Caenorhabditis elegans: one gene and its partners. The protein of the gene in region 1 interacts with the protein of each later gene in a pairwise test. Each region holds a gene or a part of one and is shown in the gene's direction. Other genes may lie near its edges.

What was found.
Region 2: the proteins of swan-1 (region 1) and egl-9 interact in a two-hybrid assay, tested with the Caenorhabditis elegans proteins (one study listed by BioGRID).
Region 3: the proteins of swan-1 (region 1) and rac-2 interact in a two-hybrid assay, tested with the Caenorhabditis elegans proteins (one study listed by BioGRID).
Region 4: the proteins of swan-1 (region 1) and unc-115 interact in a two-hybrid assay, tested with the Caenorhabditis elegans proteins (one study listed by BioGRID).

Annotation. Positions count from the first base shown.
Region 1 is NC_003283.11:13,802,697-13,809,972, reverse strand, and holds swan-1 (WD_REPEATS_REGION domain-containing protein), read left to right. Parts: upstream 1-2,735; 5' UTR 2,736-2,761; coding exon 2,762-3,034; intron 3,035-3,492; coding exon 3,493-3,699; intron 3,700-3,743; coding exon 3,744-3,851; intron 3,852-3,900; coding exon 3,901-4,036; intron 4,037-4,091; coding exon 4,092-4,450; intron 4,451-5,131; coding exon 5,132-5,215; 3' UTR 5,216-5,578; downstream 5,579-7,276. Other genes in the region: swan-2 (WD_REPEATS_REGION domain-containing protein), read left to right, coding at 6,249-6,602, 6,664-7,008.
Region 2 is NC_003283.11:10,465,584-10,472,698, forward strand, and holds the start of egl-9 (Hypoxia-inducible factor prolyl hydroxylase), read left to right. Parts: upstream 1-2,933; 5' UTR 2,934-2,941; coding exon 2,942-3,016; intron 3,017-3,360; coding exon 3,361-3,489; intron 3,490-4,816; coding exon 4,817-5,294; intron 5,295-5,339; coding exon 5,340-5,533; intron 5,534-5,649; exon of another isoform or gene 5,650-5,711; intron 5,712-7,115. UniProt on the Caenorhabditis elegans protein: Cellular oxygen sensor which regulates the stability and the activity of hypoxia-inducible transcription factor, hif-1. In normoxic conditions, hydroxylates hif-1 targeting it for vhl-1-mediated proteasomal degradation.
Region 3 is NC_003282.8:16,305,346-16,311,613, forward strand, and holds rac-2 (Ras-related protein rac-2), read left to right. Parts: upstream 1-2,879; coding exon 2,880-2,984; intron 2,985-3,380; coding exon 3,381-3,472; intron 3,473-3,911; coding exon 3,912-4,097; intron 4,098-4,279; coding exon 4,280-4,484; downstream 4,485-6,268. UniProt on the Caenorhabditis elegans protein: During gonad morphogenesis, plays a role in distal tip cell (DTC)-mediated guidance of gonad elongation.
Region 4 is NC_003284.9:10,144,814-10,154,246, forward strand, and holds unc-115 (Actin-binding lim zn-finger protein limatin involved in axon guidance), read left to right. Parts: upstream 1-2,678; coding exon 2,679-2,817; intron 2,818-3,835; exon of another isoform or gene 3,836-3,908; intron 3,909-4,067; coding exon 4,068-4,316; intron 4,317-4,385; coding exon 4,386-4,606; intron 4,607-4,936; coding exon 4,937-5,080; intron 5,081-5,220; coding exon 5,221-5,449; intron 5,450-5,494; coding exon 5,495-5,604; intron 5,605-5,666; exon of another isoform or gene 5,667-5,767; intron 5,768-5,905; coding exon 5,906-6,147; intron 6,148-6,198; coding exon 6,199-6,296; intron 6,297-6,418; coding exon 6,419-6,625; intron 6,626-6,970; coding exon 6,971-7,124; intron 7,125-7,176; coding exon 7,177-7,303; downstream 7,304-9,433.

The DNA of each region.
Region 1 (7,276 bases):
GCTCAAATATATCCAAAAATACAACATAGAATCTAAAATCAGCTACTCCGACTTTTCCTGAATTAAAGTATTCCTAGAAAGTTGAACTGCAAAATTTTTCATTAACAGTTGACTTTCATCACAAGAAAAAAGTGTCGCGGTACTTGTAAAGTTGCCGAGTGCAAACGTTTTGTTCCCAAGCAAAATGTACCACCCAGAAAACAAACAGAAAAGATCCCTTCTTATCGTTTCACATTTTAATAATATCCTCAATTATGGTATTTTGTTGATCCTAGTCTTTTGTTTGGAACAAATTTCATTTATTGATAGCTGTTTGAAAATTAGGCTAACACACATTGTGTTATCGCCCTCTGACTGAAATCATGAAAACGAGCACGGCTAGACTATCTGGTTAAATTTTTTGAAATAACCGATCAATCTCGTTTTTTAATATTTAATATTTCTAAAAAAAGAATGGCTTGCTGTGATCCGCAGGAATACCACAAATTCCTGAAGAACGGATCGTCTAAGTATCTGAGTATCTAAGTAAGTTTTTTTTCAAATTAATATTTTTTAGTACTGAAATTTACCAAACTATTTTTAGTTAATCAAACACTCAAAAACTTTTTTGCAACTTGCCTAATTTTTTTAGCTGAAATTTTGAAAAATTCTAACGGAAATTTTTTTCGGTGAAGCTTTTCAAAAAAGTTCTTGAGTTGCGCCAGTTTAATGCTGCCCATGATACAATTGAATTATCAAAATGAACATAATGAAAGAGACAAGTTTTAAAACTAACAACATAAGAACCTTGTTTTGTTAGTAACGAGTTGCTTTTAAAACTGTTATTAAAAATTACTGAAATTCTAATAAAACCGTTGATTCGTAGGTGCTCCTGAACAAATATTCAAAATGTGCAGGATTTTCTAAACAATTTCAGGCTCAGTCAGATCAGATTTCTTTTTGAATGGCTTGTTCCAGTCTTTACAGTTAATACTTCTAAATTATCAAGGTAGATTGTAGGGCAGTTTTACATAACTCTCACGGAGCTTCAGTGTTTTTAAAGTCAACTGGAACGTATTCTACGATCATCCAGATCCGGAAAACTTGCATCATAATGCACCGTTTCTGGCGTCATGTGCTCCTTGTAATTTCATTTTTTCTCTTCCACCTGCAACCGAGTATTCGGGGTCAACGTATCCGCTAGCCGCATTGCATGTCCGTCTAGCCGACCTCTGCGTCTCCATTTCTGCAAAACGAGATGGACAGACGGCACGTAACGCAGAGAATCTTTTCGTTTCTTCTTTTTTCATTTTGCTTCGCTCACTCACTCTCTCACTCACTCACACACGCACTCACGCAATGGTCTCTAACTCTCTGTGTAACTCTCCTATTTCTACCTACTACCTCGTCCAGTGCAGCTAGTCGGTGGCCCCCTTCGGTGAATAGACGAACACTGCACAGTTTACACTATTTGCATACTATCGATTGGTTACAATCTGCAACGCACTGTTTCTGTCTCTTTACATTCCTCCTAATTCCCTAATTCCATTGTTGCTCATTAGTGAACTAATGCGGGTATTCCCAGTTGACCACTAACTATTTTTTGCAAACTTTTCAATGTGATCTTTTGGATAATTTTCTTCTGTTCTTGTTCGAACTTTCATTGTTTTTTTCCAAATTGGAAATAGATTCGGAAAATGTTCGAAATTTGGAAAAGTTTGCAAAATAATTCCATTTTTATAATGTTAAATTGGAAAAAAAATTGTCCGAACAAAAATTTTCTCAGAACTAACTTCCAGTTTTTCTTCTTTTTTTTTATGCAAAAGTTGAATTTTGGTCCTCTTGACAACTTCGAAAATTACAATTTTTGTCCAAAACTTGCTACATTTTTTCAGCTCATTTTCCAATCAGCGTTACCTCCAAAAAAGTTCAAATCAAGTCAGTTTTGAATATCCAATGTTTGTCAAAAATTCAGAATGCAATAAACAAAACTATAGTATGTGATCAATTTTACTCCTCTAAAATTGTTTCTTTCTATTTTTTCGCTTAAATTAAATTTTCGATCTCTATGATTAGGCTGTCCAAATTTAAATTAAAAGTGTCGGCATTAATCTGGAATAGACTGAAATCCCAATATAGGAATTGCCCATATCTCGGTGTTTTGGACTCAATTTTCTTATACTTAATTGAATCTGTTTGTCGTTTACTTTTATGTTTTTGGTAGTGTGCTTTAAAAAACATGGCAATCGTTCAAGCTTTACAACTACCTGATTAGCATTTCTTTTCTGATTTATAATGTCATATCACATCAAAATGACCTAGAAACAACTTGATCTACCCCCCCCCCCCCCTGCCTTGTTGAAATAATCGAATCCCTTTTCAACTTCACCTGTCTCATTTGAGCTGCTCTCCTGCTCTCTACTGCCTTCTTTTCATCTTCAACATTCCACCACCACCTCCATTCCATTCGTTTTCGATTTAGTGTAACAAAGTGCGTTCTTCCCTCTCTTTCTCTCTTTTTCCCTCATTTTCTTCCTGTGTCCTTCTACTTTTCAATTTTATTTTTCTCGTTCTCGTGTTCCCTGCGTCTATTGATTTACCGTATTCTCTGTGATCGTCTTTTCCCTGGAACCTTTCTGTTTTGTCGAATTCGATTTGAAAACTACTACTCTCACTTTTTTTTCGCTCTTTCCCTCGTTCGCTTACTAGTTTCCAATTATTCTAATAATCCCCTCACGCAGTGTTTTATCTTGCAGAAACTTGTGAACCCTTATCACCTGCAATGGCTACCAATGGTCACGCAGTGAACGGAGAAGCTCATGTTATGCAACAAGTCGCACAACAACCAGCTCCACCAGGACCATTAGCTCCGCAAGGGATCGGAAGACAGAACGAAATTGTGATCGGAGGACGTGATCGACGTTGTGAGATCTATAAATTCACGTCTGATCAACAGTTGTATGCATCGGCATGGAGCAACAAAAATGATATCAAATTTCGACTTGCTGTGGGAACAGTATCCGACGTGTCCGTTAACCCATGTGCCGCAAACAAGGTGAGTTTTTGAAAAATTTGAAAACGTGTGAGTGGTAATGTTGGCCATAGTCAATAAGGTCCCATTTACTGAAATACCACAAAAAACGCAATTCTAAAAAACGGGTTTTTGCAAATTCTAATCTACTGTTTAAGTTGTCTACAAAATAAGAACTGCAAGATTAAACAGCGATCGTTCTTATTTTTGAGTTGAGTTATATTTTTGAGTCGAGTTTTACTATAGTTCAAAGACACAATTTAGAAAAACTGGAAATCGGAACAAATCGAAATTGAACTGTTCAGGTTTTAAACATAATTTTTGTCTTTCCTTTTGCGGTATTTCAGTATGTATATTAAAACATTTCGAATATTTTGAATTGAAAACCCTATAGACTGTACTCCAATGTAAAAGTTAAAAAAAAAAAAAACGAAATTTATATGTATTTTGAAACATAACAGTTCCAATTAAAACGTTTTCAGGTATCAATTGTACAACTAAAAGACGAAACTGGCGAGCTTGTCGAGACGGCGAGCTTTCCAATGGAGTTCCCAGCCAATGCAGTCGGTTTTATTCCGGATCCAGACAACGTTTACCCTGATCTCATTGCCACAACATCAGATTGCCTTCGCCTCTGGCGAGTAGTTGATGGAAAAGTTCATCCAGACGCAGTTATGATCAATAATACTGTACGTTAAACCTGTAAATTTTTAGTGTTCAATGGAATTTTCAGAACTCACAATATGGATCAGCTTTGACAAGTTTCGACTGGAACGAGCTGGAGCCGAGGTATATTGGAGTTTCCAGTGTAGATACGACTTGCACAATTTATGATGTTGAGGTGAGTTATAATTTTGATAAGATTTAGTGAAATGTTTACAAATATTCAGGTTGGTTGCGCAATTGGGCAGACCAAGCCGACAGCTCCATTCACACTCAAAACACAACTGATTGCTCATGACAAGCCTGTTCACGATATCGAATTTGCTAAAATCAATGGCGGTCGTGATCATTTTGCAACTGTTGGTGAGTCTTGTCTAGCTAGTATTTGCATCTTTTTATAAACATTACGAGTTTCCAGGAGCTGACGGAAGTGCCCGAATGTTTGATCTTCGACATTTAAACCACTCGACAATTGTCTATGAAGATCCAAACAAGGAGAAGCTTCAAAGACTGTCATGGAACAAACAAGAACCTTATTTCATGGCTTTATTTGCCGAGAACAGTCAAGAAGTTCAAATTCTTGACATTCGTATGCCATGCAACATTCTCTGTCGACTCCGTAATCACACTGGACCAGTGAACGGAATTGCATGGGCCCCACACAGTCCACATCACATTTGTACTGCTGGAGACGATTCACAAGCTCTGATTTGGGATCTGCAGCAGGTTCCAAGACCCGTTGATGATCCGATTCTGGCTTATTCGGCTGGTGGAGAGGTGAGCATTTGAATTTGAACTTAAAATCTTATCCGATCAAGATCAAAAAGTAGTGAGATTAAAAAATATATATACCTGAAAATTAAAACGAATGCTGAAAGAGAACTTTCAAAAGTTGACACTAACGATTACAAAAAAAAAACATTTACACGCAGTTATTTGAATTTAATTATAAAAATCTCATTCATTCATTGAACATTTTACCTGAAAATTGAATAAAAAGGTAAAAAAGGTGCGTCCCTTTTTGTTAATTTTTTGCATCAAATTTTCTTATATTTCTTAGAATTTTACATAATTTTCTACAATGTCACTAGTGGGACTCAGAGGTGCAGTCTTAAAAATTGCAAGTAATGAGCCACTTTGAAAACTGGAATATTTGAGATCTGAGAGTTTAAAAACTGTTTTTCGAAGCGGATTGTTTTTATTCTACCATGTTTACATTACATTTGCTGAAACAGTTAACAATTACATCCAAGTTTTTTCTTCTATGCCGAACTTAGCTTGGCTCCGTTTTCGGGGTGAATTTTTTTCCACCTGCTTTTCCGGAATCATAAACATCGAAGTTTCATACTACGTTCAGCTGTTGCACGTAGTTTCTTAGAAAACATAAACTATGAATTGTCACCTAAATTTTGTTGGAGATTTCCAGTTTCAAAACTTTCATTACTATACAATTTCCAGGTCAATCAAATTCATTGGGGTCCTGTACACAGTAACTGGATTGCAATTTGCTTCAACAAAACTCTTGAGATTCTTCGAGTTTGAGCAGAGGATGTGCGTTCTGTTTGAGAACTAACAAAAATTTCTCACATTTCTCAATTAACGTTATTTTCCATTTCCTGTTATGTTTTTATGTTTTTAAATTATAATTTTTTGTCAATTGCTCTGATTTCAAGTCACTTTCTCCGCCTTTGTTGTGAACAACTTATTTGAATTAATTCCAAAGCATCAGTATGATGATTCACGATCTCTTTCAAACCTCAATTTTCTCACGCCAACACACAATTGTTTTATCCACCCGAAAATTATTGTTTTATATCCTATTTTTTTCCATTTTCCATTGTGATAAGGTTACAGGAAACCCGAAAATTTTTTAAGGTGGTTTCAAAAAAAATTTCAGAAATTGTATTTTTTTAAAATATTTATTTTTAACTGAAATACTCCGGTAAATTCCTCCGGCTTTTATACTTTTCAAAATGGATTTTCACTTTGGTATTTCTTTAATTTCTGGTTTTTCACAGGAAAATTCTTCCGACACAGCAGCCGAACGTGAAGCCGCAGCGGTCGTCTCAGCTGCAGACCGCCGAAGACTTTCGGTTTGTACCGAGAGCTCCGCCCGCGCCAGCGGCACCCACATCGTCATCCGCGACGACGACACAGTCTGCTAATGTGAGTTTTCATTTTAGCGAAAGTATTGATGAAAAATTATGTACATCAAAATTGACGTCATTTTTCATCTGTGCCTACGTTGCGAAATGTGATGAACCTTTATATTGACCACCCGACCGTTTCCGCGTGACTGACTGAAAACATGTGTTTGCCATATGAACCTAATTTCTTGACAGCAATGTTGCTTATTGTTTCAGAATTAATCGACTAGTTTTTTCAAACTTTTTGATAGAAAATTGTTTCTTATGAACAGTTCAAGTTTTAGTTTCAATAATACATATAATATCTCTTGAAATACCTACTTTCTCTACAATTTTTTGTTCAAAATTTCATTTAAGAACCATTAAAACTTTGCCTGAAATAATCAAGAGATATCCCAATTAAAAAAAAATTTCTCATTTAGTCTCGAATGATTGATCAATCCCAAGCAGCACCATCATCATCTACGTCATCGTCTCATTTGATGCACCATCATTCGAACAACTATCCATCATACACAAATCCTTCTGCTTCAAGTTCCAATCACAGTAACATGGGTCATCCAAACGCGTCAACAGGTCAAACATCTGCAGTACAAAGAATGGATCCGTTCAATCAAATCCCATCAGAACTTTATGGATCAGCATCGTCAACGTCAATAGCTGCATCAACACGACAACCATCATCACAATCACAACCATCACAACAGTTCAGACAAATGCCAGCCGATTTAGGAGCTTCAACGTCTACGATGCATTCTGTTGCACCGATAGATATTTATGATGTAAGTGAAAGTTTATTAAATTTAAATTCAAAATTTTGATGAAAATTTTCACTAATTTAAGAATTATGGAAACGCCAGTACATCAGATCTACGAAGAAGCAGTGTACGGGGTGATCCTCGAAGGAAGGAGATCTACGCCTACAATGCTCCATTCACATTATTCTCCCATGGCTGGAGCGCAGCTACAGATCCTTCAAGGAAGTTTCGGCTGGCGGTTTCAAGTTTTATCGAAGAGTACTCGAACAAAATTCATATAGTGCAGTTGGACGAAGAAGCCGGTGAACTTGTACATCGGAGCACATTTGATCATCCGTATCCAGCCACGAAAATCATGTGGATTCCCGATCAAAAGGGAACGTTTCCGGATCTTTTGGCTACTAGTGGAGACTATTTGAGGCTGTGGAGGGTTAGTTTTTATTGGAAACTTTAGACTAGTAACTTTTTTAAATTGAATAACAAGAGAGGTTTTGCCTCAATTCTCTGTAAGCAGTATTGCATTGTGAAATTAAATTCAAATTAAAAATTTGTCAAAATTGTCAAACAATTTTATTTGGTCATTGGTCATTTTCCAAAATTATGAGTGCCAAAAACTGAAAATTTTCCTTGCTACTTAACACTTTTTCGAACATCTACTAGATACGTTAACCAAGTCAGAGGCCTTAAGAAAATATCAG
Region 2 (7,115 bases), 3.3 Mb from region 1:
GACAAGTGTTCAAACACCATGCTTTCATTAAAATTAATAATTTCATTGTGCGTCATAATTCATATGACACCTTCAACACTCTTTCCAAGTAGAGCCACATTATTACGAGCTAATTTCAACTCCTAATTTTACGTACCAAGAAAACATTTCACGATATACTGACAGATGTTTTTTCACAATATGGTAATGTCTTTGAAGTTTAAGATTTTGCATATTTTGAAAGAGCGTCTGAAAATGTTGTGATTTGTTTTGTGAGATTTTTTCCGTTTTTTAAATGACGATTTATCCGACCTAAACTTTGAATGATCAATGTTTATCGACTAAATTTCAAATTCTATTGTGTTGTAATGACAATTGCGAGGTCTGAGTGAGACTGATCTATTAAATAATTACAACGATTCAAGATCATTTTGTTTGTCAATTTTTTAATTCAAAAATCTGCTAGCAGTTGAATTCTTAATAATAATCTAATTAATGTTTTACGGTTTCATTTAGGGATTTTGGTTTTTTTTCTCAAAATTTCTTACAAAAGAAAAACGTTCCATTTTACTTGCAGAATACAAAACGTTGCGTGCCATTTCATTTAGAATTCTAATTAGAAGTATTATATCACTCAATCAAAATGTTGGGAAAAATTTAAATATTTGTAAAAAATGTGACATTTTTCAAAACCCACTAATGTGATTTTTTTTCAACATTTAAATTTTTCAAAAACTACCACAACATTTATCTACACATGAGCATACTAAAAACACCAAAAGTGTGCTAAAACAGTACCTGGAGTAATTCTATAGGCCATGAAAAAAAGAAAATTGCACTGTTTTTCCAAGTTCTATCTCAAAGATTCATGTTTTCTCTATGCAGCGAACAAACGTTTTCCTCAGAAAAATACTTGATAACTGACAATTAGTAATGCCTTCATTTTATTCTTAATAACAGTCCTCAGTTTTCAGGTTATACTTAATTCTTGAAAAATCAGCATAATGTGCAACAAGTTATGCTAAAGATTAAAAAAAATTTGCATCACCCACGAAAGACCTCAAAGACCATTCCTTTCCGAATCTCCTCACACCTTGTACCACATTGAGATAGTAAAGAGATTGGTGGAGAAGCAGAGTGCGCGTGCATGTGAGCGTGCGCTTTTCACGTTCCAACACAATCTGCGTCTCCGTGCTCTCATCTACCATTATGTCTGTGTCTCTAACTGTCTTACCAATTTTTCATTTGCGCACGTAGACAGTTTTGGTGTCTCTCTCTATCTCTCGATTTCCTCCTATATGCGTGTATGTGTGTGAAAGAGAGAATGAGAAGAAAAAGAGAGAGAAAATGAAGAGGAAAGATCTCCCGCTTCGTCATTTTCCGCGCATTGCATTTTTTGTTATGCTCTTCCAATTAACTGGGTAAAGCATCACGGACTTTTCAATTATTATATCAAAGTTCTTTTTTTTAACTATCAAACAATTATTCGATCTTCTTATGACTACTGTACCTGATTACACTTAAATTTCCTAAAACTTTTCCGAAGATCTACTCTTTTATCTATTCAAATATAAAAGAGTGATCTTTGGAATAGGCAAGAAACATGTCGCAAAAGAGTGCACCCATCTGTCTCACATTCCTCTCTCAAAACTCTTGTTCCTTCCATATCTTCTTCTCATTTCTCTTCGTTTCAATTTCTGCCCTCTTTCGTAAGGTGTGGGAATGTAAAAAAGTGCGTGACGTAATATGTTCCATCTCTTTTTCTCTGGATTGATGCAACCTTGTTTTGACACCAAACACCCTGCACAACATTTTAGAACATAAAAATTTTAAAATTGATGAATAAAAAGTTATTACCATGTGATGAAGTTCAGTCAAACTTGTTTAGCATCTCATTGGTGTTCACTTGATTGGTCATAAGATTTCTCTTTGTTTTTTCTTTGCTGAAATGTACATATTAATTCAAGTTTTGAAGAAAAAATACAGATATTCCTTATTTCAAAGCTTTGTCTCGTTATTCCCAAAAAATGTGTTTCTATGTTCATGCCATCTGGTGTATAGAGTACAATGTATCGTAAATTTGTTCAGTTTAATAACTTTTAAGAAAATCGTTCTTGATTTACCGTATCAATGATGAAGGTCGAAGTGATTTCCACCGAGAAATCCTAAAATTATTTTTAAAAATTGCAAAGAAATAGTCTGTAACTTCCGTTTTGAAACCGTTTCTTTTGTGTTACTTGAATTAGTTTAATTTTTTATATTTCTGAACTTTTCTTTCGAACGTTCTCATTTCATTTTTTTTTCAAAGGCCGATTAAGAGTGCACTTTAATTATAAGTGTTTCCGGAAACTATTGAAGAGTAGTCCATACTACACATTCCTTTTATATCAAACAATTTTTAACCTGAATAACACGTCTTTTAAACGTTGAAATCAAATTTCATTTGAAGGTTAACGGCATCAATTGACAGATAACTTTTTGAATCAATGAAACCATATTTTGTTATTACTATTTAGACAATATACCAGGATAATCCCTTGTGATTTCTGTTTTACTTCTAATCTATATTGTTTTCTTGATCAAATTTGTTCGATTTTCTTTGTCATCGTGTCTCTTTGATCCGTCCAATCACAACCACCACACATTTCTTTCACCGTTCATCTAGTACTGAGAACAGTTTTTTTCGTTTTCAATTTTTTTTTCTTAACTTCTTCGTGTGATAAACGGCAAAATGTCGTCGTGCAAATCATCAACGCTAAGATGGACATTTTTTTTAATGATAAGAGAAATGCAAAGAGAGAGAGAAAAAAGCACGAGAGAGAGAGAGAGATGAGCACACAAGACACGCAAACAATCAGTTTCGGTGCCACGTCGTTCATTTTATCACGTTCACATATTTTTCGGTTATTTTCTGATCACTGCCAGATACTGAATGTGACAGAAAAAAGTTGCAGCACATGACATGAGCAGTGCCCCAAATGATGACTGTGAGATCGACAAGGGAACACCTTCTACCGCTTCACTTTTTACAACGCTGGTATGTTAAACTACTTTAGTTAGAAAATTTAAACTCTTATTACCAACCTTTGAAAATTGAACACCTAAAATGAATTACCTAAGTGATTTTTAAACAGTTATTACTCTGTTTTCTGAAATTCACTATTCAAAAAATCTGTAAAAAGGATACTGTACTTCTGTATGTGGTGAACACTGCATCAATGGGACTAGTTTATTAAGTCTAGCAATTTTGAAGTTTTGTTTGTAGTATGGAACCCCTATTCGCATTAGAGTTAAAAATCACTGAAATCGTACATTTTTCAAAAAAGCATAACTTTTCAGAATTACATATTTGGGTCACATTAATAATGAATAATTATTCAGATGCTCAGTCAACCATCTTCTTCTACAGCTGTTTTACAGTGTACATATTGTGGAAGCTCGTGCACATCTTCCCAATTGCAAACATGTTTATTCTGTGGAACAGTGGCTTATTGTTCCAAGGAGCACCAGGTTGGTACCGTAGGGTGTATTCGTTGATCAACAAAATAATGGGGGTCCTGCTGATTAGATAAACAAGTGTTCTCACGTAATCCGTCCCTTCTCACGATGCATCTACCCTAAATCTGTTTTTGACTCTAATTCCTCCCTTCTTTTCGAATTTTTGAACTGGCTATTTATGGGAATCAAATCTAGTTCCTGTTTAAAATTATACTTTGTTTCTGACAACTACTTCCAATTATAGTTGTCTTATTTTTGTTGAATTTTTCGGAAAATAACCTGAACCTGCATATCGCGCAAGAACGTGTCGATTCGAACATTTCGGCTGGCTGCCCTCCTCCCGAGAAAGAGCTTTTTGAAGCATATGTGCGCAGACAAGAAAGACAGAAACATTTGTAGACCAATGTCTGTGTTTACTGCAAAAACATCAAAATGAAATAGGGGAAATAGATGATGACAATAGGAAGAAATTTTAATTTCGAGAAAAAAGCTGTGGCAGCGATTTTAGATTTTATCGACGGAATTTGGACGGAGGATTGTAGATAACCCAGAAAAAGTTGTGACGTTCTCAAGAACAATAGTCTAGTTATTAAAAGTATTGAAAAAGTTCTGAAACTTGTTTCGTTAAAAAATATAATTTTCAATAAGAACCACTAATAATATAATCATAGTGACCCTCTACATTTAAACTTCCTAAATTATTCAGCATAAAAGTTGGGAAATATCAAACTTTAACAAAAGACGGAAACAATTCTTAGAGGTATATGTTGTGGCCATAGTATACTATTAGACGAGAATATGTTGCTTCAAAATATTTTACTTCCTTATTTGAGTGCAACAAAAATCACAATATGATTCATTCGTATTTCTAAAACTTTTCCTCTTTTGTGTTCCCATTGTCAACTTTTTGATCTTATTACTTTTCTAGACACGTCCATCAACAACATGCAAATAAAAAATTTGTTTAGTTTCCCACGTCGTTTCATAAATATTCTGATTTATGCTCAACAACTTATTTTTCTTACTAAACATCACACCTTTCTCTCATTAGACATAACCCAAATCAAGCCACGCCCGTGCACTTTTCACAAATTGAAACATCACAAGTGTCACGTAGACAATTTTTTTAAAGCGACTTATGGATTTCAATTTTTAGACGCTTGCAATTTTTTAATTTATTTGCCATAGATGAGATCAAAATTTTGAATACAATTTGCTAAAAACACATGCAAAAACAAAATGAGGAAGTAGAGGGTATTATTCTTGTTCAGTATTTCAAATAGTTCTACAACTTTTAGTTTTTCCAATACGAAACTCAGAATCAATATCTAATTTCCAGCAACTCGATTGGCTAACACATAAAATGATATGCAAGTCACTTCAAACAAGTGGCATGGTGCCAAGTAATTTGATGCCTCAGGCAGCACCTGCTGTTATGGCTCCAATTCCACCTACTGTTTCGTTTGATGATCCTGCACTTACCACGTCACTTCTTCTATCTCTTCAAAATAATCCAATTCTGAATCAAACTATTTCAAATTTTCCGCCAACATTTTCGATCACATCGAAGACCGAACCAGAGCCATCGATTCCAATCCAAATTCCACAAAGGATATCATCAACAAGTACAGTACCGTTCAGTAGTGAAGGAAGTGCATTCAAACCATACAGAAATACGCATGTGTTTAATTCAATTTCTTCTGAATCAATGTCTTCCATGTGCACATCACATGAAGCATCACTTGAACACATGTCATCAGCTTCCCTTGCAATGTTCCCAACAAGTAGTACTGCTCAAAGTGATATCAGTAGACTCGGTAAGCTACCAATTTAACAGTTTTTTGATATAAAAGATCTTTAAGCTCAAGTTTTGAGTCTTGCTGGAGATTCACCAGCTTCGTTGGCTCTTGTCACAACTTCGGTACCGTCAACTGCTTCCACAGCAACTATTCCACCTCCAGCGACAACGACAAGTTCAGCTACAAGTTCAGGCAAAAGCGAGACAATAACTGTTGGAAAAGAAAAGATAATTCAAACTGATGATCCGGATATTCAGGTTAGTAAACGTAATCATCTAAAGTCTCATCGAAAGGCCAAAACCTTTTTATTTCCGTATTTCCATGTTAGTTTCATTGGTGAAAATACCAACTATTTGATGTGAATATGTGTATCTAGGCTCATGCCAACGTGCGGATTCTGCGAGCCCTCCCGAATTTTACGTGATTTGTGAGAAGCGTGTGTGTGTGTGGAGCGGACGGCAATGCTGCACAAAATGGCAGTTAAACCAAGCGGTTAGAAACAGAGCCACACAGCAACAAAATAAATTGGCTGGTCGGTTTTGTGCTCTCTGAGTAATTATAAAATGGAAGTGAACTCGATTTGTTTGATGTTGATAGGAACGAGTAGACAGGGATGGATCACGCGTTCAAAGGGTTCGGAGATGATAGTAGTAGACAGTGAGTCAGGTGACAGAAAAATTCACTTTTGATGAAGACTGGAAGTTTTATAGTGAGCATACTTGATATTTTTGTTATCTCTTCAGAAAATCTGATGAGCACTATTGAGTTAAGAAAATATCATGCTTTTTCATTCCGTTCAGAAGTCCTTCCGTTTAGAATGGAAACACAAAAAATGTAGTGGAACATATGAATTCATTTTCAAATGTCTATTTTCATCTGTTGATCCCAGCACGATTCATTATTAACTTATAAAAAATTTCTACCGTCTTCTGTCATTAACTTCTGCTCATCATGCCTCTCAACCCATTACTTTTATTTTTCGGCTCATTGTTCAGTTATCCACCGGACGAGGAAGCAAAAAAGCAGCTCATTCATTATTTTCTTCGAGTCGCAATGCTTCTTCTTTCCTGTTATACCAACAAATGTGTCAAAGTTCACGTAGCTCTTCTTTCACTTATTCTCTGAATATCTTTTTGATCTATCTCACCCTCATGAGAATCTTCCTCCACTTTCCCATCCAAATGGAAAAGAATGAACGGCATCGTCTCGGAAAAGGATGTCGTTCTCCTCTCGATAAGAAAATATGAGGAGAATGTCACGTAGACCTGAAAAAAGCGTGAAACCGGAAATTCACATCAAAACAAGCATGGAAATGCAGCGACTGAAATAAACAGAAAAAGAGAGAATGTATTGGAATGAAAATTAGAATTTCTGGAATTGAAAAAGAAACATACGGTAGTTTTCACTCTTTTCCTCTTTCTCTTTTCTAAAAGACGACGTGCAGATCAGCAGTGTGCATTTATTGTTATCAGCACTATTCCATTCGTTGTCTCTAAGCGTCCACCTCCCGTTGTCTGTGCAAAACTTTCCCATTTTCGATTCTCGATTTCGGCACGTTTTGTGAAATTCACCCGCTTCTCTCCATCACGCACGCATACTCTTGCACCGCTCGTTTCTCTTAGCATTTCAGTAAATTCATCTCCTTTTCCTGGCTTCTTTATTTGTAATGTATTCAGTTTTAGTTTGAGTCTTTCAGTCATTAACTTTGTGCCGGCTTTAACTATTTTTCCAACTGAAAAACCAGATAACTGAAAACGAAAAGTGCAAATATCGAAGAGAAAAACAAACAATATACATACTCGTTTCACTCTTGTTTTCCAGTTGTGTAGTCAGTTTAAT
Region 3 (6,268 bases), on another chromosome or scaffold:
TTTGTCAATATTTGACGTGTCGAAAACCGACACCGTCGAGTTTAGACACTCGAAACGTTGATTTATTGTTTTTATTTTTGATTTTATTTCCCAGTTCACGTTTTTTCAAATGAGCACAGAAAACAATGATGTGGCAGTTGAAAAATTTAATAAAATACTTTGATTAACAATTATAATTTTCATTCATTTTTATCCACGTATTCAGTGTCGAAAAGCGACACCACGAAGTGTCAAGAAATGACTTTCTAATTTTTTGAATCACGTGTGAGATTCATTTTTCGACTACAGAAATAAATGAAAATTTTTGTTTATTGACGACACTTGGCCAGCCCTACCCTGCCTATCAGATGAAGTTCGCGCTCTCCCTCTCTACCTTGCCGTGGAAAACAAATTGCAATATCTGATGGGGACTGTAGGAGAAGCAATACTACTTTATGTTACCTGCTTGGCACTCTTTTTTCAAATCTACCGTGCTCTTAAAAAATATGGCAAAGTCCGTTCGAAACAAACCTTGGAACTACAAAAAAAGCTGATGAAGGCGATGTTTTTGCAATTGGCAATTCCCTTTTCCATTATCTCCATTCCAATGGCCTATTTCTCATATACACCATTTTTCAATGCGGCATTGAATAATACTATGTATATTATAGTTGCAACACATGGTTTCATATCAACAATTGTTATGCTCATTGTACAGAAACCTTACCGAGAATTTATCCTGGGAGGTTTCGGGAAGTTTTTTAAACTGAGACAGTCTAGCGAAAATGTTTCGGGGATCAGTTTACACTCGATGAATACAATTGTAGCACCAAACCGAATGTTTTGAATAAATACTACTTTAAACATTGTTTTTGCATTGATTCAAAGCACCGTTTTCTAACGTCGTAACATTTAAGCAGGTGATATTCAGTTTGTAGTTATTACTAATACATTTATTTTGTTTTCAAAGGATAGCCACAATTAAATTTAAAAAAAGATAAATCTCTTTGAAAATGGTATTTTGGTTAAATACTGTTCACTTGAGGGCTTGAAATATAATATAAATCGTTGGAGAGACAGGAGAAACGTCAACAGGGAGAAAACCTGTGTTATTATGTAGAGCACATATATTACAATAGGAAGTGTTAAATAGGAGATGTTAAAGTAGTTAGGAGAATTTCTTTTAAAAAAAGTTATTGTTCTGGATCAAGAATTTTTTATCTCACATATTAAGACAACTAAAGCACAAGAAAAACAGGAACGCTAGGTATAGGAAATAGACGTTTCTGGACATTTGATAAAGATGATTAACAGCTGGAAACAGTATCATCTGAATGAGAAAGTTATGTTTAATGCAATGCACGTGTTGAATACCGCTTTATCGAGTTTTCGATTCATTTTGAACACGTACACATAAACTGGGAATAATGCCGAAAAAACAATCACCGAAGCAATAAAAAATATCTTGAAAGAATAATATATTGTTTCAGTAATTTTTACAATAGTGTCGTTCATTGGTACTTCTTTTAAAGCAATGTACTGCCAAATTTATATTATAGATTAGGAATTAGTGTGAAATAAAGTTACTGACAGGTGAATGTTATTTACGGCAAGAGCGAAAATTTTGTTTCTGTAACATTCTTGACCAATGACAAGTAAAGGTGGAGTACCGAAATGGGTACTTGTGTTTCGCACTACGTTGCTCACTCGCCAAGCTACACACGCCGAGCTGCGGAACTCGGAAGGTATCGGCCGCTTCCAAATAACTACCTTTCGCACTTCGTTGCGCACACACACCGGCGAAGGGCGACGGCGCCTCCGCCGCGCCGCTCTCACATGGAAGCCCTATTCCCTTTTTTTGAAATGTATCCATTTTAATAAAACGTGATGTCCATTACCCCTCTTTAGGCTTAGAAATGGTTATTTCCTGAGCCTAAAGATACAAAAACTCCACACGTTAAAAAAAAAATTTAAATGAGGAAAATTTAAAAATGGCACAATACTACAAATTTTCGTAATTAGATTGCTAAAAAAAACAGTTATGATCACTCAAAAATTTTGGAAAAATCGGCTATATTTTGCTGAAATCTCAAATTTTCACAACTAGGGCTGTTATTTAGGACGTCCTAGGTCGTCCTTGTCATTTTTTGATGGCTTATTTTGGCGTCCGTTTAACAGGAAAATTCAGCCTCAAACTCGAATCCAGATAATATTAACCCAAATAATCTATTTTCGTTATCAAAATTAATGTGTTAAGTCCGAGGACTTTGGTATAAAAATTGGGAGGACGATGAGGACGTCCTGTTTAACAGCCCTATTGACAACTTTTCAGTGTCGCAGCGGTTGGAACTCAATTGTCATCCTAATTTCTGCACTATGACGAAAAGTCAAAGGCGTGGTGTACAGACAACTCAGTGCGAAATGTGGTTTTAGCTGCGGCCGACGCTTTTCGGGTTCCGCTCGGGGGTCACCGCAAAGCGCGCGTGGCAGACGTTATCCCGCCTGCATGGAATCCCTACCTTCCTCATAGGATTCATCAGTAGTTCTCGATCGTTCTTCGGCCCGGCCCAATTCACCTATAAAACTAAATGAAACGCGCATTCAAGGTCATTCCTTATATTTTCCCTATACTCTTATTTCGTTATTTTTGTCTTCCTTATACTTACCACGTGTCTGTTACTCATCTATTCTGTAATTACTTAATTCCTCTGATCAACATGACAAGATGAAATAATCTCACTAGATCCAGTTTTGCTTCTTATTTTTTAAAGTTTTCCGAGGGAAAACGTTAGTTAGATTTCCCCCTCCTATCAGGTTTTCTCCAATGTTTTTCAATATCATGATTAAAATTTGTCCTGTTCTTGAACCAATTTTCAGTTTTTTTGCTCGCGGAGCTCCAGATGCAAGCAATCAAATGTGTCGTCGTTGGTGACGGAGCCGTCGGTAAGACGTGTCTCCTGCTATCGTACACTACAAACGCTTTTCCCGGAGAATATATTCTAACGGTGAGCCACTTTTTGTCGGGGCACTTGAGAAAAATTCGGGTTGGCACTTGAAAATTTTTTTTTCAAAAAATCTTATTTTTTAGCGCAAAAATTTGAAAAAAAATTTGAAAAAAAATCTATCTATACTTTTTTATTTAAAAAACCATGAAAAGTTGAATTCGTTTTTCAAAAAAAGGCAACTTCTGTCCGTAAACGTAAAAATGAAAACATTTTTTGAATGAACCCTCTGAAAGTGGAAAATTTTGACCGAAAACACGATTAAAGTGCTAATTTACATGATGAAAATATGAAAAGTTCTTACCTTTTTTTGCCTGATTTTAACCAGATAAAATTGGAGAACGGTCTGAAATTGGGCTTTTTCCTTATAATCTCGAATTAAGCCCAATATTTATGCAGGTATTCGACACCTACTCAACAAATGTGATGGTCGACGGAAGGCCAATAAATCTCAGCCTATGGGACACAGCTGGACAGGACGATTACGATCAGTACGTGCGGAAAAATCTGAAAAATGCGTCAAAAAATGAGCCAAATTTCATTTTCTCAAAATAGTTGATAGTAAATTTTTTCAAAGTTTTCGCCTATTTTAGAGCAATTTTCTATTTTAGAGCGAAACATTCTGAAACTTCTAAAATTTTTAACCGACCTATTGTCTGCTAAAAGTACAATTTTGTTATTGTGAAAATTGCTAAAAATATTTCCTCCACAACTTTTTTTTCTACTTTTTACAATTTTTCTAGCAATTTTCAAGCGGATTCTATTTTATAATGACAAAAAGAATGTCTATCAAAAAGTAACATTTCATATCAAATTTCGTAGGGAATGAAAAAAATCTTAAACTATATCTAATCTATCTAATGAATGTTTATTGTATTTACATGTGAATGTAAATTTACAGCCCACTTAAATTTCCCCATTTTTCTTCAGATTCCGCCACCTGTCATTTCCACAAACAGACGTATTCCTCGTATGCTTTGCACTGAATAATCCAGCAAGTTTTGAGAATGTTCGTGCAAAATGGTATCCAGAAGTATCACATCATTGCCCAAATACACCGATTATTTTGGTTGGAACTAAAGCTGATTTACGCGAGGATCGAGATACTATTGAACGGTAATTTTTTGGGATTCATTTTAGCATCGAAACAACTTTTTTATCATGTTTGAGAGAGATATGGCAAGAAATTGGGTGTGAAACTTTTGCATATCTCCCCATGTTTTTACCTTTTCGGCCAAAAAAGACAGCAACTCCAATGTAATACCCCCAAAAACTCTTGAAAAATAAAATTTTTGCAGGCTCCGTGAACGTCGGCTCCAACCAGTGAGCCACACCCAGGGTTACGTGATGGCAAAGGAAATCAAGGCGGTCAAGTACCTGGAATGCTCGGCGCTTACCCAAATTGGATTGAAACAAGTTTTCGATGAGGCAATTCGTACTGGGCTCACCCCGCCACAAACACCACAAACGAGAGCCAAAAAGAGCAATTGCACGGTGCTTTAAAATGCGAGGAAATTGGAGAACTCAAATTACAGAAACTACAACAATTTCAACTACCATACTAATTTTCAATACATAAAAGCTTCTGAAGCTTTTCGTCGTTGGAATTTCATATTTTCAGGTCGGAAAAAAAATTGAAGGAGAGGATAATCCCTTGCCTTGAGGACTGATCATCACAAAGTTATTACCACATGATTAGTACCCACCTATAACAGACCAAAAAACGAACCACGTGTGTGTTCAAAGCTAAAATCGGAGTTTCACCATGTTTTTGGCGAGAACTCGTAATTTGAGCTTTGATTGTGAATTCTTTTAGGGCTTCCATGTGGGCGCCGGTCAGGCGCCTCCACCGGCCTCATGTCGCCACTAACGCCGCAAGTATCCGTATGTATAGTGCGGCGCGAAACCTCGAACGTGTCGGCCGCTTCCATATAACTACCACTTCGTTGCGCACATACATCGACGAGGGGCGAAGGCGACGGCGGGCCGGCGTGAGGCCGGCAAAGGCGCCTCCGCCATGCGGCTCTCACATGGAAGCCATAGTTTAATTTGATGGTCATCCTAATTTCTGCACTATGACGAAAAGTCAAAGGCGTGGTGTACAGACAACTCAGTGCGAAATGTGGTTTTAGCTGCGGCCGACGCTTTTCGGGTTCCGCTCGGGGGTCACCGCAAAGCGCGCGTGGCAGACGTTATCCCGCCTGCATGGAATCCCTACCTCCCTCATAGGATTCATCAGTAGTTCTCGATCGTTCTTCGGCCCGGCCCAATTCACCTATAAAACTAAATGAAACGCGCATTCAAGGTCATTCCTTATATTTTCCTTATACTCCTGTTTCGTTATACTTTTCTTCCTTATACTTACCACGTGTCTGTTGTTTGTCCCCATTTACTCTTCTATTCTGTAATTGCTTCATCCCTTTAATAAACACGACAAGATGAAATATTCTTACTATATCCAGTTTTGCTTCTCATTTTTTAGTTTTTCGAGGGAACAAGTTATGGGGTTATTCAAGTAGTGTCGGAAAATTAAAAGGTGTAGGAATATTACGTCACTTTGTGTATTAAAATACATAAAAAACATGTACATAAAGTGACCTAATATTCCTACACTTTTTTAATTTTCCGACACTACTTGAATAACCCCATTAGGTTTCCCCCCGAAGGTTATCTCCTATATTTTTCAATATCATGATTAAAATTTTTCCTGTTCTTGAACCAATTTTCAGTTTTTTTGCTCGCGGAGCTCCAGATGCAAGCAATCAAATGTGTCGTCGTTGGTGACGGAGCCGTCGGTAAGACGTGTCTCCTGCTATCGTACACTACAAACGCTTTTCCCGGAGAATATATTCTAACGGTGAGCCACTTTTTGTTGGGCAATTTGAGAAAAATGGCGTGCAAAAATCAGAAAAAAATCGTCATTTTTATTTAAGAAAACATAAAAAGTTGAACTTGTTTCTCAAAAAAAGCAACATTTGTCCATAAACGTAGAAATGGGTAAAAATTTAGAATAAAAAGTGGGTAATTTTTACCGAAAATACTTTGCCTGATTTTGAGCAGAGAAAATTAAAAGCGGTCTGAAATTTGACTATAAATTCAAATAATGTTCAATATTTCTGCAGGTGTTCGACACCTACTCAACAAATGTGATGGTCGACGGACGGCCAATAAATCTCAGCCTATGGGACACAGCTGGACAGGAAGATTACGATCAGTACGAGCGGAAAAATCTGAAAAATTTCTCGAAAAATGAGCCAGATTTCATAAATATTTTCTCAAATTATTTG
Region 4 (9,433 bases), on another chromosome or scaffold:
AAAATGGACCTTTTCAATTGTTTTAGTCTATTGGATTTTTTAGTTATCTTATACACTTACTGAAATAAGTTGAAAATTAAAAAAAAATTTTAATCAGAAAAATTCAAAACTATTTTTAAATGATAAAAATAGTTTTAGTTAAATATTTAAATATTGCATTTTCAACATCCGTGAAAGCTAACCTACTCTTATTGGTATTTTTTATTTGCGTGTAATTTGACCAGAAACTTTAAAACGCCCTAAAGTCACATTAAATTCATATTCCGTTCATTTCGCCACCAGTCCGTTTGCCAGTGAAGAAATGTCCGTATGTATAGGCGCCGCGACAGGGGATGGGCAACTGGCCGCGTGGCGCAATGGATAACGCGTCTGCCTACGGAGCAGAAGATTGTAGGTTCGAATCCTGCCGTGGTCGAAACGTTTTTCTCCTGACTAGGAATAATATTTTAAGTCTTTGGTTCTCATGTTTTCAATAAATGTTACAATATTTTGAGTACGTTGGTTTACTGCAATCTGTTTTATACGACCTTTGGAACATTATGCTGAAAAAAGTAAATATCAACCGGTTCTTTTCTTGAAAAACGTTAGAGCCATTTGTTTTTGTGTAATGTCGTTCCGTTTGAGAAGCTTTGGGATTGTGGTGTAGAGCAGCGTGAATTGTTATCTACTACCCACAATCAGAAATGTTACACTGTTGACATCTTGCTGCCGTTTTTCACACGAATGTGGGCCAAAAACCAGTAAGCATTGTATACCATTTGTACCAATTGTCAGAAGAGCACAAGAATAAGAAGTCTTCTAGCGTGGCTATTGTAGGTTTAAGTATTGTCATGGTAAAAATTGTTTTCATCTCAATACAGTTATATTAAGATGCTCCCAATTTGCATAATTATGTCAAGAAGGACACTCTCATCCATATCAATTCTCGCAACGGAACAGTGCGGAACAACAAACAGGTCACTTTCGAGTGAAATGTTTCCCGTTTCATTATACATTATCTGTCGCATTCTCATCTTTCCGCGTTTGTACACAAATTGGAACCGTGAGAAGTGCATGTAGTGAAGCATATCTAAACATTTACATGCCCTCTTCACTTCGAGAACAATGATGTGGAAAACATATCTTCAGAACAGAAAAAACATCATTTCAGAAAGTTGTATTCAGATTTCTAAGTGTTTTTTTTTGGCTCGCCATCTCGGGACCGGTTGATTAGCTAAGAGTGTGACATCTCTACAACTCGGCCGTCTGTTTTTGGCCAGATGCTCGCCGGAGGCAGGCACGACTGAAATATTGTCTCATTTCTACTTTTGCAATACATCGTCGAACGTGTCAGTTTTCAGTATAAAGGTTGGTTTTTTTTAACGTTGGAAGTTGAAGAATTAACTTCAGTTTCTGAATAAAACATTTAGTTCAGGACATGCTTGAAGCGTGGCGTGTACTAAACTAACATTCTATATAAACTCATTCAAAATAAAATACGTTTTTATAGAAGAGATTATAGTACATTGCAAACATTCGAAAACTGTATTTGTAATTTTTCCATCAATAAAACTGTAAATTAGTTACACTGTGAAAACAGTCCCACTTTTGACAGCAACTTTTGGACGTTCACATGCTTGAAATTATTCATGGTGTGCTTCCTAGTTCCTCGAAACCAATGCCCACTAAAGAAATGTTTTCTTACCCACTCAAAATAAACTCTTCTCATCAATCCTATCTAAATTGGAAGACATTGGGGTCCCGCAAAAAGTGATGTCCTCTCTTGTCCTCTTCTTCCCGGGTTTCCTCCTTCTTCGCATTTCCTTTTCCTCCGTCCAATGCTTTCCCTTGGCATTGGTGGTAGTGGTGGTGGTTCAGAGAGGAAGAAGAGTGAAGGCCGGAATGCATTTATTGTGAATTGGGAGTAGAAGAGAGAAAGAGAGAGGGAGCGTTGCGCGCAGCTGGGCCATTTATTGATCGCTGCTGCCGGGGGCCCCTATGTCTCTTCTGACGAATGGCGGCGGCGACGAGTGTTGTATGTGTGGATGTGTCTGCGTCTCTCGCCCTGCTCCTCTCGTCCCCCTCTCGCCTCATGCAGTAGTGCCGGGGTAGGCGGCGGACAGCTCTACTTTAGACCTCTCTCCGCTATTCTATACCACCACTATTCGCAAGCACTGCGCGTCGTCTCCACTTTGCCATGGGTTCGTTTTGGTTTTTTGTAGTGTTAACGATTCGAAATGTGATAAACATAAATATGATTGGGCTTCAATGTTTGTTTCTAGATGTATTAGATTGAGATATTAGCTTCATGCTAATATACCGGAAGTAATTTCTGGGCAGCAAAATCGACCTGCACCATGTCCATACTTTGACTATATTGTTATTTCTTCCGTTCTGCTTGTTTGTCAAAATAAGAGGTTTCTGGAAAAATTTCATAATAGTTGATTTTCAGTTTGGTACCGATGACTCAGAAAGAGTTACAATGAGACAAAGAAACAAACTGCAACAAAAGAGAGGGCAATGTCGCCCTCTTTTTATTCCTTTTTTCGCTACCAAGTTCTAGCTATTTTGCAACAAATTTTTCAATGCTTCCCGCAACAAATAAATCAAAAAGGGAAATTGAAGATTGACAGTCTTCTTGATTGATTTGATGGTAGATCTTCATTGAGATATTTGAGAAAAAAATAAACAAGCGGAGAATGAAATTCAGCAGACCTGTATTATCAGTAAACCATTTGATTTTAGGCAAAAAATGCGACGTATGTCGCAAAAAGTGCTCAGGAGACGTCTTAAAAGCGAATGACAAATACTTTCACATCAACTGCTTTCAGTGCAAAAGTGAGTTCAATCAAAACAATTTTTCCATGATAAAGATTAGATATCCAAAGTTATGTTTTCAATTTCCATGAAGTGCCGACATTTCGAAATGTTTGCTTTTTCTTGTGGAAGAGACGGGAAAATGTTTCAGTGTGTTTATTACATAATACAGCACGAGACTCTCGTTGTTATCTCACTTCTGTTTGAACAGGGCATAGCATCCATTACTACTTACACGAAAAAGAACGTTCCAAGCTAAACATTGATAAAAATCTAAGAAACATTGTCACAAAACCTAATAACCAAAAAAGTTCAACCTTTGAAAAAATTAAGGAACCTACTGTTTATGCTGTTTAGTGTTTCTTAGGTTAGATTTACCAATCAAGAAACAAACAAAATTAAATTGCGATTTTCGCTTTCAATTCAATTACACACATATTTTTCTTGGCCACTTTTGTTTCGGGGGACACTGGTCTTCTTTTTATGACCCCATTTACAAAAGTGTGTTTTCTGAGAACCACCGCCTTTGCAGAGAATCTTGTAATCCTCGAAAGTTAGGCTTCTCCATTGTTCATCCATCATAGATTGTTAAGAAGGATTAGTTGAAATGTGCAACTCTATGACACAAGAATTTCTGCGTCACCATTTTTGGAAAATGGTGCCTGTTCGATGGAGTGTGAAAATGAAAATTTTGAAGCGAAACGTTTTTGACATTTGAAATCTAACCTGACTTTATTGGTTTTTGTTTCAAGTTCTGTTCGAATTCCACCTGCAAAATGGCAAACACACTATTATCGCACTGTTTACCTAAAATCGATTCGTCGTTGCGTAAATATTTACCGGGCGCTAAAAGACAAATTTTGTTTCATGGCACACTCAACTTGAACTCTATGAGGTGTAACAAAAATGAAGAATTATTTCGGGTGATTGAGAATATGAAGAAATAATTATTATGATTTGGAATAGTCGATCACACGTGAACAATTTTGAATGTATAAAATATACCGTTCTGGAATAAATGCTCGTTAAATAAAAGTTTCGACCACGGCAGGATTCGAACCTACAATCTTCTGCTCCGTAGGCAGACGCGTTATCCATTGCGCCACGCGGCCAGATGGCTCTAATGTGTCCACTTCGTAAGACAAGCAGATGTCAGGCGGTATTGTGAATTAATGAGTGTGAATTGAAAGGGGTGACGGTGACGTTACGGTTCGCCTCTGTGGCATTTTGAAAACTTTTTTTCGAGGTTTATTAAAATCTATTATTTTCAGAATGTGGTCGGAATCTAGGCGAGACGGGCTTCTACACAACACCAGAAAATGCGTATCTGTGTCCCGACGACTTTCGCGCCGTATCCAAAGAGATAACAGTGAAGACGACGACGCAACAAGCACACGCGTCTTCCTCAAGTGCGGCGACGCCCAAATCTCCGGAGAAATCAAATGGTACAACGGACGTGTCGTCGAGTGGAGCCGCTAATGCCACGCTGCAGCAAATCTCTCCGCTCGGATCACCAACAAGTAAGCAATGAGCTGTCGGAGTGGCAGTGAAATTTGAAACTTTCTTATGTATAACACTTAATATTGCAGCGTGTGCCGCCTGTGACCAAGCTTTACATTCGGGTCAAGTACTTCTCGCTCTCGGTCTTTCATGGCACGTGTACTGTTTCAAATGCAGCGAGTGCTCAGCAGTTCTCCATGGAGAGTACATGTCACATCACGGAAAACCATTGTGCCTTCGAGATTATAACGAGAAATTCGGTGTCAAATGTTACGAGTGTGAAAAGTTCATTGCTGGAAAAGTCTTACAGGTGGGTATTTGGTTGATAACAAAAAATAAAAGTAAAACCGAACAAAGTTGATTTGTGAACAAAACAATTTAGCACTACATTGTCTACGAAAAACCATAACAACATATATTTTCAGAAAAAAAGAAAGTATTTTAATCAATCTATTTATAAAAACCTTTTGGATCTTCCTGTTCCAAACTTTTGTTACTTTTGCAATCAAGGTTAAGTTGTACCCCTGCAAAACGTTGAGAAAAGTTTTTTTGTTAAAAAAAACACCAAGATCAAAACAAGTTGTCTATTCTTCTTTTGACCTTCCCAAAATATTCTATTCAGTCAATTTCTTTTATTTAGGCTGGCGGCTACAAATTCCATCCAACTTGTGCCCGCTGTTCACGATGTGGATCTCATTTTGGTGACGGTGAAGAGATGTATATGCAAGGAGACGAGATCTGGCATCCATCCTGTGAGCACGCGCGGACCACCGAAAATATCGCGGTATGCAATTTCATTTTTCATTTTGTTTTTCCAAAGTATCCGATTTCATCACATTGAAAGTCAAGATGATGATGATGCTTTCTCAAAGCATTCGAATAAATTCTTAATTACATTATACTTTAAAAAAAATCAATTTTTAGCCAACTGGACGTGCTGCCACATTGTCTCGAAATGAGCCAAAATATCAATCAACGTTTGGACAGCATCAAGCATACATGTACTTGTTGCCAGAGGTGGAACAAACCTACTTGAGACATCCAGTGATGAACGCCAAGGAGCCAAATGCTCCACAATACCACGTTCCACAAGGACCAATCAAGATTCGCAAGTCAAGGATGTCGATGCTCAAAACTGGAATGCAAAGACTTAGTGAGTCCACATACCCGTTTATTAGACAAAATATTTTATTTTCAGCGGAGGATTTGGAAAAGAACATCCCACGTCCAAAATCTCCACACATGGACAATGAGGAGCCAATTGAATTAGCTCACTATCCAGCTGCACATGTGCCCGATCCAGACACGGTATGTACTGCAAAACAAAAATACGTTAAAACTTGAAAGATATTTGAAACTAAACAATATAAACTTACCGTTTTTTAGTCATTCAAGAGCTAAGTAAATGTTTGTGAATTTCAATTATAATCACTAAATTGTAGACGCCAAATCAAAGTATTAAGCATCCTTTTTTCAGACTGTGCAGAATAAAAATTAAAAAAAAATGTTTAAACTTAAGAAGAAATGTTTAAATGTGGGAAAAATACATATTCCCGTTGAAACAAAACTCAATTTCAAAACTTTAATTACGCAGGAAATATATTTTCAGCTTCCTGCTATCGAGCGAGAGGATTTCCCTGCTCCACAATTCCCGTATGCCGTCGAAGAACTCAAAAGAAGACTCTCAACATCATCGGTTGAAAATGAGATTTCCGACGATGAATACTCGGAGAGCGACAAGGTTGACGAGGACAAGTTGAGAAAGACTGTTGAAACTTTGGAGAAGTATAATGATTCTTCCATTGCTCACGTCATCAGGCAAAACATCGAAGACAGTCATAAGAAGCAAAGGTATTATATTTTATTGCATATTTTATCATATAATTACTAATTACGTTGCAGGCTGCCACTTCATTGGGATCCAAGAAACGCAAGCAGAACCCCATCTGGCAAGAAAATGCCACATCTCAAATTCCGTTACGACGTCCCAATCAATGCTTGTATGTTTTTGTGCGCTTTCCTAATTGAATCAGTAGCTGGCTATAGAGCACAACACATACTCCTTTCGTGCGCCTTTTCTTCTTCTCAAGTGCAAACTCATTGCCCTTTTTCATTTTTTCAGCGCCATCTCGTCATCTCAATCGTCCGCGTCCATGGGTTGTTTGGCAAGGAGGCGAGAGAGACCAGGGAAACAATACACTGCCGTGCTTCCACATTCCAGAGGATAGCCGGGCGAATACACTCAGAGCCGCCACACTTCCGACGGAATTCGGACAAAACTTGTCGCTTGAGAACTTGGACACCACAATTAGCAGCCACTATTCTGAACGTATGTGAAAGTTTCATGGGAAAATTTGGAAAACAGAAGTTGGAAGTGAAGAAAATAGTTTTAAAACAGTAAAATGAAAAATGGACTCTCTTGCAAAACATTTTTGCAATATTTGAAAAAGGAACGATTTTTGATCTAAAAAACACTGTTTGTTGGTCACTCAAACATGAATTATTAAAATATTGAAATCAGATAACCTTGATAATGTATCGTAAAAATTCAAAATTCTTACTCTGTTATTAATTTTTCTCAAATTAAGAGAATAACGTTTAGACTTCTTTAAACAGTATTTCAAGAACTTTTAAACTGCCGTAGTTGTCACAATAATTGCTTTAATTTTTTCAGACTCGACGACGGAATCTGGAACAGCTGGAGGACCTCGCTCAGCTGGTGGAGCTGTGCTTCGCTCTTCTCTTCCTGACATGAGCAAACCTGCCAAGCAGTACGACCTGCTGTTTCTCCAAACGACAAATTCGGACCTCCCAGAAGATGTTGACAGGTGAGTAATGAAAAAATAAGTTAGCATTCAACTGACATTTCCTTTTTTGTAGACAACATTTGGAACGACACTTGCCGCGAGATCAATTTGAGGAGATCTTCAAGATGTCCTTAATTGAATTTTATAAGCTGCCCGAATGGAAGAGGATCAATTTGAAGCGAAAACACAAACTATTCTAACATCCTCGTTTTAGCTGTCGTCGTCTTTCCCTCACCCTCACCAAATCATCTTGTTGCCTGTGTCTTAAACAAAACGTTAGGTCGAATTTGTTTTCTTTTCTCCACGCGTAACTTTTTCAAATACTCTTTTTTTTGGTCCAATCTATTCTCATCCCAAAGTTGCTCCTGTTCTGCGCATAATTTCGGCAGTCAGTGCATTCGTGTTTTCGGAAAATTTGCATTCATTTCTTCCTACTTTCTCTTTATGTATTGATTCTGAGGCACTTTACTACTCTGTTATGTTTTCTGATTTTTATGCCAAAATATTGACCCAAACTTCTCAAAAATATCTTTCGGGATATAGCTTGTCAGCTTTTATTGCCGCTTTCAACTAGTGTTTTTCATTCAAAATTTGTAATTTCTTAATCAACTTTAAAAGTAACTTTAATTTGTCTTCTACGCGGAATCTCGGTTTTTTTCTCTTCTTACAGTTTTTCTCACAAAAGATTGCATTTTGCATGCGTGCTTTCTTCTATATGAATTGGTGTTCAACGTTTAATTGTCATTACATTTTTATATTATTCTAAATTCCCCTCACATTAATAAGCTTTTTTTAAATTGCTTAGATTATTCATAGCTTTTTTAAACAAAAAATGCTCATTTTTATTTTAAAATCAAAGTGTATACCGCCAGTAAAAAAGCTGTAATCAAAATGAATAAAACCTACAGTAGCTAGCTAACATGGGTTTATCATTTCTTTTTTATTTTACACATGTTGCCTCTTCTAGGCAAATGCTTGTTTCCCATTTGTCTCAATTTACCTATTATATCCCCGTTATTTGTCTCCAAGTCATCCCATCTTCAATTTTCAATTGTAAAAGAAAAAAAACTGATCAGAATAGGTTATTCCCCATTATTTTAATTGTTTTTTGTTCCTACTTCACTTCTCTCCTATATGTTTTCATATTCAAAATTTTGTCTCCACCAAATGGGAAAACATTCTATTCTTATTGTTTTGTTCTTGAATAAACTGCATATGCTTCGCGTAAACAGAACTCAAGAAATAAGTGTTTTGTGTTTGAAAACTTGAAGACGACACACAGAAAAAAAAGCTCTAAATGCAAAAAAGTTGAGAACATCTGTTGAGAATGAATAAAATAAACAATTGAGAAAATTTCAAATGATGATCGAATGAAAGCTCCATTTTTCTTTTCTTTCATTTTGCTCCACCAATCACTCGATAACATTTGTGCTCTTTGGATAAAAATGTTGCAATTCCACTTGCAATTCGTCCTGTTTAACAAATCAGTTGTCATGTTTTGCCAACGAAAACACTTGAAACGTTTGTTTCCAAAAACCGCACTGCCATGTAATATTTTAATTTTTTAATGTTAGATGTTTCTTAACTTTGAACACACAAATTTGAACTTTAATTCATTCATCGTCTTTTCTTTTCTTGCAACAAATTACATTTCTAGGCTTTTAAAGTTATTTGGTGTTGACACTGTAAAGACCTTTAAAATTTTAAAGTTTAATTTGTATCAATTTTCGTCATTCACACTTTGTTTGCACATATGATCTGTAAATTTAGAATATTATACGAAATCAATGTAGAAACCGGTAATTCCTTGCAGAGAAATCTCATAAAACAACACGTTACGCCCAGGTCACCTAAAAGCGATATAATACTATAGGCGCGCTCTAATAAATAAATAAATAATTTCGATATAAATTCAAGTACTACTTTAATAAAAAGAGTTTTGTTTTAAAAAAATGTTTGAAAATCATCAATAATCTTGATTTTTTATCATCCAGATTCCGTTATAGTTTTCATACTTTTTTCTTTTGTGAACTAGACATAATCGGCAAACTTTGAGCTACTCTAATATTTTCTTGAATAAACTCACTGTGAATATTTATACAAATCAAATTTAAATAGTGCTTATGAAAAGCTCACGAGTTTATTAAAAAAGTGACTGAAATTCTCAGAAAATTTAAGTCTTGGACTGTTATTATGTATATCATTTACAATAATTTTGGTTTTCATTGGCGCTACTCCATATTTTTTGAGTACATGTTCCAGATTAAAACTGAGAACGGCCTTGTAGGTCATTTGGCCTTATTGGTTGAATGTATATGATTGATTCAAAA